2 linked regions of the Diceros bicornis minor genome follow. The protein of the gene in region 2 purifies or fractionates together with the protein of the main gene of each other region. This does not show direct contact. Links are inferred from orthologs where the notes say so. Each region holds a gene or a part of one and is shown on either strand. Other genes may lie near its edges.

Evidence for each region. Proteins that work in one complex are often made in the same cells at the same time.
Region 1: the proteins of EP300 (region 2) and CTBP1 purify together in Homo sapiens (affinity purification with western blotting; 5 studies listed by BioGRID, with this or other methods). This does not show direct contact. The link is inferred for Diceros bicornis minor from reciprocal best matches to the Homo sapiens genes EP300 and CTBP1.

Annotation. Positions count from the first base shown.
Region 1 is NC_080747.1:643,354-648,835, forward strand, and holds the start of CTBP1 (C-terminal-binding protein 1), read right to left. Parts: upstream 3,788-5,482; 5' UTR 3,289-3,787; coding exon 3,249-3,288; intron 1-3,248. UniProt on the Homo sapiens protein: Corepressor targeting diverse transcription regulators such as GLIS2 or BCL6. Has dehydrogenase activity. Involved in controlling the equilibrium between tubular and stacked structures in the Golgi complex.
Region 2 is NC_080764.1:9,284,394-9,290,574, forward strand, and holds the start of EP300 (histone acetyltransferase p300), read right to left. Parts: upstream 3,418-6,181; 5' UTR 2,204-3,417; coding exon 2,110-2,203; intron 1-2,109. UniProt on the Homo sapiens protein: Functions as a histone acetyltransferase and regulates transcription via chromatin remodeling. Acetylates all four core histones in nucleosomes. Histone acetylation gives an epigenetic tag for transcriptional activation.

The DNA of each region.
Region 1 (5,482 bases), on a different chromosome or scaffold from region 2:
GAGCCCTGCGCCCCCAGCCCTCCCTCCCCGTGTGTCCTGAGGCTGAAGAGAAGAGGCCAGAAGGGAAACTTCAACACAGCCAGGAGCGAGGAAAGTCAAGCAGCTGGGATCCAGCATCCCAGCCCCGAGCCTGTTTCTCAGAATTGGAGAGAGGGGGAGAGCCACCCCATACGGCTGAACAGGCCGAAATTGCACAAACACCCCCAGGGAGGACCGGGAGCAGTGGGCAGAACAGGGGGCCATGCGTGCACACAGCGGGACCTACGCAGCCCCAAGTGCATGTCCCTCACAAGACCTCACAGAGATGCCCCAACCAAAGCATGCACTCAAGGATGGCGATGAAGCCCGACTAAGGAGGAGCTGGGAGAGCTGATGGGGCAGAACGGACTCTCCCTGCAGGAAGTGCGGCCCCAGAGCAAGGCACCACGGGCCAGAAGAACACGCTGTAGGCGCCACAGGAGATGGAATGAGCAGGGACAGACCAAACCCGGTGACAGAGAGAGGCCCCCCACGACGAGGTCCAGTAGGACCCACATGGCCAGCCTCAACAACGCCCAAGTTCTAGAGCATAGGGAACGCAACTCCCAGACCGCACACGTGGCCAGGCTGAAATCCAGAACAATGAGGGCAATGACGGTGAGCACACACGGCAGCTACGAGGGCGGGCACTGCCCCAGCCCCTGGCTCTGTCCCCGGCCCTGCTCCAGTCTGTCCTCTCCCTGCCCCAGCCCTGTTCCTGTCCCCCAGCTCTATCCCCTGCGCTGTCCCCCAACCCTGTCCCTGTCCCCCACCCTATGTCCCTGGCCCTGCCAACACTTAGCACATGCTCACTCCTGTGATCCCATACCGCTTCATGATGCCATCCCCACCTCAGACATGCATGGAGAAGCCACACGAGGAGCCCCAGATCACCCGCTGGGATTCCCCTGGGAACGGGCTCAGGTCTGTGCTCTGGCCGGCTGTGGTCACTCCTCTACGGAGATGCCGCCCCACACAAGAGTGCAGGGGCTGCACTGACTCCCACGGGCGGCTCTGCACTAGCTGCAGGCACCCTCAGTGCCCATGCTGCTGGGGCCAGCTTTCTGCTGAGAGCTCCTCTGTACGTCTTATACAGACGAAGCTGCTCTTCATCTTACAGACGAAGAGCATGGTGGGTCCTGAGAAGGAGAGGAAAGGTTCCGCACACAGACGGCCTGGTCCCCACTCTCGGCCCCACAGAAACCTGACTTTGCAGCCGCCTAGAAAAGCAGGAGCAGGCAAGGGGTTCACCTCCGTGACTGCTCAGTTCAGGGTACCCGGAAAAAAAGCCATCCGCCTCCACTTCTCCCCGCCCCAACCAGTCTCAGAGAAGATCAGCATTAAAGGGTCTGGCCCTGGCCAGGTTCTGGCTTCTCCAACACACCGCCGGCTTAAAAGTTGTCCTCCTGGGCATGCCCGGGGCGGCACCCTCGTTTCTCAGCAGGCGGGCAGGGGGCCAGGCTGGGGACCCAGCCAGAGAAAGCTCTAGCCACCAACCTCAGGTGCGGCTACAGCTCCTCCTCCCACAGGCAACTCTGCGCTGGGGGAGGGGCGGGAGGAGGAAGCTGAGGGCCCTCAGCCAGCCAGGCTGCCACAGGACAGACAGACCACATGGCCCCTCCCCGCCGGACCCCGGAACAGCCCCTCCCAGGAGGAGGCCCATGCAGCTGGATGTTGACCGGGAACTGCAAAATGTGCAAGATGGCCACCGAGAGTTGGGCTCTGCCAAGGAGCTTACACCATGGCAGGCATCTTCCAACCGGCGATCTAACCAACACCCACCCAAGGGTGTCCCCAACCCAGCCTGCCCCCGACAGTCCAGGTTCAGGGCCCCAGTGGGGAGACAGGCTGGTCCCCAGTGCTGCTTAGAGTGCCCGTGAGGGTCCTTGTTCTGATATCTTTCAAAACACAAGGGGGACAAACCCGTGCCTTGAGACAAACAGAATTGGGTCCAGATCTCTTGAATTATTGAGGAAACAGACTGGCTCAGAGAAGGGAGCGCAGCACAGGGTTTGCTGAGTTCAACGGTGTGGGTGGCTGTCCCAGGCCCTGCTCCACCTGCCTAGATGGGGCAGACCCCCACCACCACCTGCGTAGTCCGGGCAGACCCCACCCCACCTGGCAGACCTCCCCCACCTCCACCTGCCTAGACAGGGGAGATCCGCCCCCCAACCTCCACCTGCCTAGTCCAGGCAGACCCCTAGCTGCACGGCTGAGCCCAGGACATCCAGCCAGTGAGGGAAGGGTGCCCCCCACAAGCTGAACGTTGTAATTTTATACATTTTTAAAAAATGGGTGAAAACCTCAAATACCAGTACAAAGCCTGTGATAAGAACAAGCGCCAATAAAACAGCCTGAATAAATTCCAGTGGTGGAGCAGCGCCCACCCTGCCCGCTCCTCAGGGAAAACCTCCGTCCCCCGGCCCCACCGCTGCTCCCCCCGCCCCCGCCCGAGCGGCCCAGCATCACCCGGCGCTGGGAGGGGGGACCCGGGAGGGAAGGGCCCGGCGGGCTCCCGTGGGGCAGGGAGGTGACTGGCCCTGCAGTCCTCGCCGGCAGGACGTTACCGTGCCCAGGAGACACGGCATCCTGTCCTTTCTCTCAGAGCCAGGTCGGCAGTGTACCCGGGAGCGTGTAACGGGACACTGAGAACAGGGAGGTGACCTAGTGCGGCGGCCGAGACCCGGGATTCCGGAGTCCTGGCGGGGTGGGATGCCGGGGTCCGAGGGTCAAGGATCAGAGGCTGGGAGGAGCTGTGGGTCCGAGGGACTGGGGTCCGCGGCTCCGGGGGTTCGGGGGTCCACGAGTCAGGGGTCAGGGGCCGGGGGTCTGAGAGTCTGGGGTCCGGGAAGGGCTATGGGTCCGAGAGGTCGGGGTCCCAGCGGGGCGGACACTGGGGGTCTTAGGAGGCGGGATCCCCGGGGCGGGGGTCAGCAGGGTCGGGTGACCGGCGCCCCTTTGTGTCACCTGCGCGGGCGGCGGCGGGGGCGGGGCGGGCGTGACGGCGGCGCCGGCGCACGCTCACTCGCACGCAGCAGCTCGCGCACGCGCACGGCACTCCCGCGGCCCCGCCCCGGCCCCGCCCCCGGCTCGGCCCCGCCCCCGGCCGGGGGCGCGGGCACGCCGGCGCGCACGCGCACTCGCACACAAAGCCGGGGGCCCGCGCGCCCGCCCCGCCCCGGCTCCGCCCCGCCCCGCCCGCGGCCGGAAGTGCGCGCGCGCGGCCTTACCAAGCGGCAGGCCCTTGTTGAGCAAGTGCGAGCTGCCCATTGAAAGGCGCGGGCGGCCGCGGGCCCCGACCAGTCCGGCGCGCTCCGCCGCGAGCCCGGCGCGTGGGGCGGCCTGGGCGCCGTCCGCTGCTCCGCCCGCTCGCCTGCGCCCGTGCGCCGCCGTGCCGAGCCGCGCCGCGCCGCGCCAGCAGCCGCTCCACCGGGCGGGCGGGGACAGGGGCGCGCGCGCGGGCGGGGCTTCCGGCCCAGCAGCCTCCTGGTTCCAGGCGCGGGCGCCGCGCTGCACCACGCGGGCGGGCGGCTGCAGGCCGGGCCCGCCCGCCCCGCCGGGGCCACGGGGCTCTCCCCTGGCCTGTACACGCGCGCGCACAGCAGCACACGCACCTGCCCTGCACACACAGCTGCACACGTACCTGCCCGGTTCACACACATGCACACGCACTTGCCCCGCGCATGCACTTGCCCTGCACAGGCACGTGCATTTGCACACGTAGCTGCCCCGCACACGCACACGCACACCCTGGGCCGAGCCTGCCCCACACACGCACCTGCCCCGCACCTCCTGGGCGCCAGCGGCGCAAGACCGGGCTAGAGGCCTCGTGAGCACGCTCCTGGGTGCCAGTGGTTTACATGTCCTTGGGCCCAAGCCAGGAGGCGCTGCAGGTGCTCAGCCCGCGCCGCCTTCCGGCTCCGGGCGGCCGCAGGGTAGCGGGAGGCCACAGGTCGGAACTCAGAGGGTTTCTCTGGGAAAGCTTGGCCTTACACTTGGGTTCCAGGGGGCGCATCTGGGCCAGGCGGCCTGGACGGGAGTCCCCGGGACGAGCTTCCCCAGTGGGCTGTGAGCAAAGCGCCAGAAGCCAGCACTGAGTAGTTAGAGCAGAGACACCCCTGAGCCCAGGTGAGGTCCCTGGGAGGTGGCAGGTGTGTGGGTCCATGCCCGGCTCCTCTGGCCACCACCCCCAGTCCCTGAGAGAGCAGCCTGTGCTTAGTTCCGGAAGTCCAGAGGGGACCCAGCCCCGAGGATCATGGCGGCTCCCCTAAGGTGGGAGCTAGCCAGGCCCCAAGGGGAAGACAGGCACCATAGCCGTCCTCTCAGGGAGAAGCACGTCATTAGAACAGGACAGCACTAAACTATCAGTACAGCTCCTTGGAACATAGTGGACGATCCTGAAATCAATCCTGTAATCTATATGTTTTTAAAATTCATAAACCGATGAGAAAGTGTAGGTGGATTCAGTAAAGGATGATAGGGAACTGGGTAGCTATTTGCAAAATTGATGCTTTTAAACCCTCACTTGGTACTCACCTATGAAAATACCTCCCAAATCGGATTAATTAGAACATGTAGGGAAAATGAGAAGACAGGATGTAAATGAGCAGTTAGCAAACTTCTCAGAGAACTTTCCTAAATGCAGACACAAAAGCAGTCGCAAAAGAAAGAGCAAAATTCCAGAGCAGGGTGCGTGTCTCACGCACACGTTCCCGCTCGTTCCCCCAGGCAGAGGTTTACTCATTTAACATCGTACAGGACCAGACCCCCTGACGTGGCCTGGACCAGCTCCTCCAGCTCCTCCTGGCCTTCTCGGTACCTCTAGCGCTGAGACCCAGGGTGCCCCTTGATACCTGCCCCCTCCACCTCACAGCCCTCAAACCAGGGTCCCCCACATCACTTCGTCCCTGGGAGTGGCCCCAGACTGTAAATCAGATTCCATTGTCCCCTGCTCAAAACCTTTAAGGTTTCTCCTTGCACTAGAGAGGAAATCCAAGCTTCTTATCACAGAAGGCTCTGGGCCTGGGCCCATCTCCATCTGCCTCTAACCTCCCTTCCATTCTTCAGCCAGGTGCCACCCGCCCCCAGCCTGCCATGCTCCAGCCACATGGCTCTTCTTCCCAGTGGCCACAGGGCCTTTGCACATGTGATTTATGCTGCCTTCCCCTGCTTTTCCCATGGCTACCTTCTCCCCCTTACCCTTATGCCTGGTATAGCAGTTACCTTTCTATCTGGGCTTTCTTCCTGCTATACTGTCAGCTCCCTGGCGTCAGGGGCCTCTACTCCCCCACCCCCATGTATTTGAGATGGGAACTGCTCAATGGAGGTGTGGGAAGAATTGATGTACTGTTCTGAACGTGCCTGTCCCATGCATGCCTCCTCAATCCTCAGGGCTGGCCAGAGGCACCAAGACCACAGGCTCCCGCCTCCAGGAGAAGGCCTGGGGATCAGTCATGCCACCCTG
Region 2 (6,181 bases):
GGGGATCAACCCTCACTACAAAATACAGAAAAAGGTAACTAATGCTAAGATAAACTCTTAGTACTAAGATTGAGTTAATCTCAATGTTGAGGGCTTGTTTTATAAAAACTCACTCGATACATTTAGGACTCATAATTATCCAAAGATATTTCAAGTAGCAAAACAGTTTTTGTGTATTAGACAGGTGAGACACTACCAAAAGGAGTTAGCTAAAGTTACCAAGTACACGGATCAAATATGGAGAACACAGGAGTGCACCAGAAGAGAGGTGTTCGAACATTTCAGGCCTTGCATTACTCCAAGACTAAGGGGCTCAGATCAGAAGTCATCAAAACAATGCACATAAAGTTTTCTCTACAATATCCCAACTCACTGGCTAACTCAAATGTAAAAACCAATTACCACATTACACAGAAACTAAAGAGCAAAAACTACCACATTACATAAAAACTAAAGAAATAACACAAATCTACAGGTGAAAATGTGTCTACAGGTGATCTAAAAATTCTTCTGAATGACATTTGAGTAAGTGCAAAGAAATACAATACTCGATATGTGTATGAATTCTGAGAAAAAAAGACAGGTTAAAAAAAAAATCCCTGAAGACTAGAGAAACTTCAAGGAATAAGGACAGATCAAAGTTCACGCATTGCCAATGTGACAAGCCTGAAGCAGGGGAACTCTGCAAAACTCCTCAATTTTTGCAGGTTATCTTAAACTCACGATACATCTTTCTTCGTAAGAGCAAAGAATCCAAAGCATTTGCCATAGCCTTACATTTTCACCCTTTGAAGCGAAGCCTACTTAGAAACATGCTTAGGAAGTTTTCTACAAACTCAAAGGGTACATTTAACTCCATTATGCATTCTCACTGGCAGATGGAGAGATGACGCTGAGCCTGTTCTCGGGAGTTAAAGAGATGCTCCGTAGTAAGGGGGAACATCTTGTGGACTGTCAGATAGCCAGCCATTCTTCCTCTTCATTATCCTGGCACCTCAAACAACTATGACAGCAAAAGAGAAGGTCGGGGGCCATCAGAATAGCACCAAACTAACTGTAAGAAGAGGACGATGGAAGGAAGTCTCCCAGACTTTCTCCTGACAAAAGGCTAGTCCACAACTTTGTGAAGCAAAGAATTTGTAGAGCCTTGTTAAACTGAAATCTTGATCTCCAAATACGTTTAAAAGCGTAAAAAAACAAAAACACACAAATAGAAACCTAATGCATATTTTAAACTTTTGTATGATCAGCTCATGCTTGCAGTTCATGATTGGGGCTCTTTCAACTTCTAATCTTGATTTCCAAGTACATAACTCCACAAAATCGATTATATTTTTCCTGCGCCCCCCCAAAGAAAGTGACAACAAACTGCAAAGAAAATGCCTCTGCTCTCTCCCACCCTAAAAACCCAGAGTTTCAGACATTTTGGTCTCATACCAAAGAAATGGAAGATGTAAAATGAACTGCGCTCCATATTGATTCTTAAAGCAAATAAGAAGATTAAAAAAAAGAAAAAAAAGCTAGGAACGGTAGGTAAAATAATTCAAATCAAATTTCAGTTTTGACGTTAAAACTCACGTCAAACCTGAAATCCTGCATCTCACACACACAAATAAACAAAACCAAGATTTTTTACACACTCATACTCAGCAGAAAATCTCGTGCAAAGAAGAGAAAATCTTGAAAAGGAAGAGTCGAAAGTAGAGAAAACAGAATAAGTGCAATCAAAGAGAAAGGACTGGCAATTCCTCATTTATCAACAAATTAAAAGTAGGGTTGCATAAAAAACCCTTACACGCAAATGCACTGGCATTTCCAAAATTAAATTCCATGGGAGCAACAATAAAGGCCATTTCTACAGCACCACTCAAGAACTCTAATTCCAGAACACACATCGATATGACATAGTGTTGCAACCAATGTATTAGGAAGCAAAGAAAATGGTTGGGCTACTGGACGTCTTTGACCAGCTCATTCAAACACCTTTAAAATTAATCAAGAGGCAGAGAACTAGGAAGAGAGAGAAAGGAAGAAAATCTGGAAGAAGAAAGGTGCACCGAGCAGCAAAGATTCAGGGGGATGTGGAGGGCCAGGGCTCCCGAGACTAACCTGTGCCATCGCTGGCCGACGCCGAGAGGGCCGGAGATGAGAGTTTAGGCCGCTTGGCTGAAGGCGGCCCCGGTTCCACCACATTCTCGGCCATTTTTAATTCTTTCGGAGATACAGGCGAGGAAAACGAGAATCCTCGGGCAATCTCTTCTTCAGGCCGGGGTCCCCGCCCCGCTCCTTGGGGTGGGCTTGGGGGGCTCCGCCGGCCCCCGATGGGGGTGGGGGAAGTTCCTTTTTCTCTTCGCCGGGTCGCGCTGGCCGAAGAGGGATGCGGACTCGATAGAAAGGTAGGGGCAAGTGCGAGGGGCCGGGCCTGGCCCAGGCCCGGAGGAGGGTACAGGAACACAAATCCGCCGAGCGCGGCCGCTGCGGCGAATTCCCGAGAACTCGCGGCTCTAGAGGCGCAGTCCCCGGCCCGCCACGGCCGGCCCCTGCCCAGCCGAGGTCTCTCGGAGCTCCGCCGCCGCCATCAGCCTCTTCCTCCTCGGCGCTGTCCTCCTCCTTCTCATCGCCACAAGGAGGCGGGGGCGAAAAGGGGGGAGAGGAGGAGGCGACGAGAGACACTCACCTCCTCCCGGTGCCCCCTCCCGGACCTGCGCCCCCACCCTCCGAGCCTTCCTCCTGCCGCCGCGCTCCGCGCCGCCGCCGCACCGGCCCCTAATGACCGCACAGAGCTCGCCCGAGCCGAGAGCCAGGCTGGCGCCGCCGCCTCACATCGCGCGGCGGGCGGCGGAGGCGCGGCGAGGACGCCGGGCGCGGAGCTCGCCGGCCCAGAGGGCCGAGGGGGCCGGGCCGAGCAGCGCCGCCCGCCCGCGCCGACGCCGAGCCCACCGAGGAGGCCCCGCTCCGGCGGGCGGCGCAGGCGGCCTCCTCTCCCGCGGAAAATAAATAAATACGGCCGCCGCTACGGCCCCCACCCCCGGCGGCCAGGTGCCGGGAGCGCCCGCCCCCCGGGGCTCCGCTCGGGGCCGCCCTCGGCGGCAGGCGAAGGCGCCGCGGGGCGCGGGGTTATGTAATGGTCCCCCCTAGGCGTCGACGCCGGCCCGGCTCCCAGGCCGCGGTGGGGGTGTGTGCGGACGGGAGGGGGCTGGGGGTCGCTCAGCCCGTGCGCCCCGGGCCCCCTGCCACTGTCTCGGCCCCTGCCGCCTCTCTCCGGCCCGGCTCCCCTCCGCACTCTCGCTCTCGCAGTTCGCACTCAGCCCGGCGTCCCGCTTGCCCACTCTGGCCCGCTCGCTCTCGCCCTCTCTCCCCCCCAGCCTAGCACACAAACAAGATGGCGGCTGTTGTTTCTTCCCTCTGCCGAATCCTCCTTACAGGCTAGCGGTAGCAGCGGCGGCCGGAAATGAGCCAAGGGGGGGTGAAAAGAAGGGGAGGGGTTGGGCCTCCGGAGGGAGGCGGCGAGGGGGCGGGGCCTGAGCCCGAGCCGCTCACACAATGGGGGAAGAGGACCCGGGGGCGGGGCTAGCTGCAATCACGGGATCCGCCCAAGGCCCCAACGCGGTTGGCGCTTCCGCAAACTCCCCCGGCGTCACCCGGTGGCTCCCTTTAAAGGGGAGGATTTGAAGGGGGGGTCGGGGGTGGACTTGCATCTATTTTCAGTCGGTGGACACTTACGGGGGAAGGTGCCTGGGTTGGGTCTCCGCGTAGGGACCGGTGGGAACCGCGGGGTGACGGAGCTCGGGGGCGACGCCGGGGAAGGCGCCAGGTCACCGCGCAGGTGGCCGAATGAGAGCGCCGTGGGGATGGCCCTGCTTCCCGGGCCCTTGGGCGGCCGGTCGTGCGAACCTCGGTTGAATCCAGCCGGCAGAGGGTACCCCGCCGCCCCGTGTTCCGGGCCAGAGACCCAGTGCGTCCTCTCTCCTCCATCGTTTTCCGAAAGGGAACGGTTCACGTCCAAAAATCACGCTGATTACGAGTTGTTTCCCTTTTCTCTGAATTTTACAATTTTTTGACAGTGAGCATATATTATTTTGATAATCAGAAAACGAAAACCACAGCAGTGGGAAGATGTTTTAGCACCAGACCTAAATTCGTTTCTTGCCCACCACGGGTCCACTTGCCTCTATCAGCCCTCTCACCAAAGGAGCCTGGAATTATTTTTCTGAACACGTCTGGGACCTGAGGACATTTTAGGGTATTTCTTTTCACCCACCCGCAACAGACCAGCTTAATAAAAGACCACGTTTAGACAGCGCCTTAAAGATAATGTAATTATGGAAAAAAGCGAAAACGTAATGTGCTAAAGGTAATGTAAGGATGGAAAAAAGCAAAAATGTAACGATGGAGAAAAACACTTGAATATAAATAAAGTGCAATGTGTGTGACAACACGGTTTTGCAGAGGAGAGCCTCGCAGCATGCTTTCACATTCCTACACATTACAGGATTCCGCTGTGTTTGGCCTTGGGTAAACTGCAACTTGAGGAGGTGGCAAGGTTGTTGGTGTTCCCCAAGGAAACCCCCAATCCAGTATCTATGGAGATAGTTAAAAGCTTTTTAACATATTTCAAATCTCATGCTCCTTAGTTAGTGTTTGCTTATTATTGTTTACTTTGGTTTTTGTTGTTGGCTTTTTAAATGAATGATGAGAATAAGAACCTAGGAGCGAAAATCTTAATGAAGCAACTCAGGTTGCCAACAAAGAGGAATTCTGTGTGATGTTCAGGCCTAATTCACCCAAACTGCAGTAAAAAAAAAAAAAAGCAAGCAAATTGAAAAGGACAGTACCTCCTTATCTTAGAGTTGTTAGAGGATGGATTCAACAAGTAAGGCTAAGGTCAAAACTGGCCTTCAGGAATGATTCGATTATTTTTAATAGTTTATACTCACATTCACAGTAAAGAGGACAGAGGAAAGAAATGTGAACAACATCTGGAAACTTGGCCCATCATTTCCGTGTGGAAAGTTGCTCACCCGATTGTGTGAAGAGTTTCTGAACTTCGGGACAAGATTTGCTTAGTTTTGCAGAGGATCCAGCTTGAGTCTAAGCAGCATTCAAACATACTCAGCTGGCTTAGCCAAAATTACTGTGGGACTAGGTACAGGAGGCCTCTGGAAGATCTGAGGAACCTCTCGTGGGAAAATTCTGCAAAGAGGAGTCAGGGGCCATGGACCTACCCAGAAATGAAGGCTCCGCTGTAGACTGGGAATTCTGATGCATGGAGCTCCTTCCTGGCATCCGCTCCTCTGGGTCTTTACCTGGGACCCTAAAGTCAGCCATGTTGGAGGTGGCTGGAGAAACAAGGATCACACAAATGCAATCAAGATGAGACTTCAGATGGTTTCAAAAAAGCAGAATTGAATCAGCCTGGATTGTATCTACCCTAATCAAATGAAAATTTAATCAGTTGTGGAGTGCTATGTGTAGATTAAGAGTGTGTTCATGAAGAAGGAATTGTCTTCCAGCAGCTGGTGGGTAGGGGAGGGTGGGAGAGGGAAACGCAGGAGACAGCAGAGACTGGCAGGTAAGAGCAGAGGCACTAAAGTCAGCCAGGACTGGGTTTAAATTCTGGCTCTGTCACTTAGCAGCTGTGCAACTTGGGCAGTCTCCTCATTTGTAAAATAGATTTCTTGATTAGACCTACTTTATTGTTGTGAAGATTAAACACGATAATTTATGAATAATGCTTATCACAGTGCCTGGCACATAGTAAGCACTCAATACACCTTAGCTGTTTCTAGTCATTCATTCTGAAAAGGAAAGGATCTTCCCTAACTCGAAGAGTTGCTGGGAGAATGAAAATGAGATTACCGCATGTAAGGTGTTTGGCAGTGCCAGGGGCCTGGCAAATGCTACCGGGCTACCACACTGGCTTCTCCACAGTCAGAAGGAAATGTCTCACAGGGTCATCCAACTCCCTTTAGGATGTTCTCTGTTCACCTTGAAACCTTCTGATGATTAACCCAGCTTCCCAGGTGCCTTGATTGCCAAAGAGGAGACCCCTAGATAGTGGGCACAAGACTAGGAGGAGAAAGATATTAATTACTCCAGGGCAAATCTATCAGTTGCATCTGGTCAAGATACTGCCATATGATCCATAGGTACGGTAGCCTTAGTTCATCCCTGCCCCCTT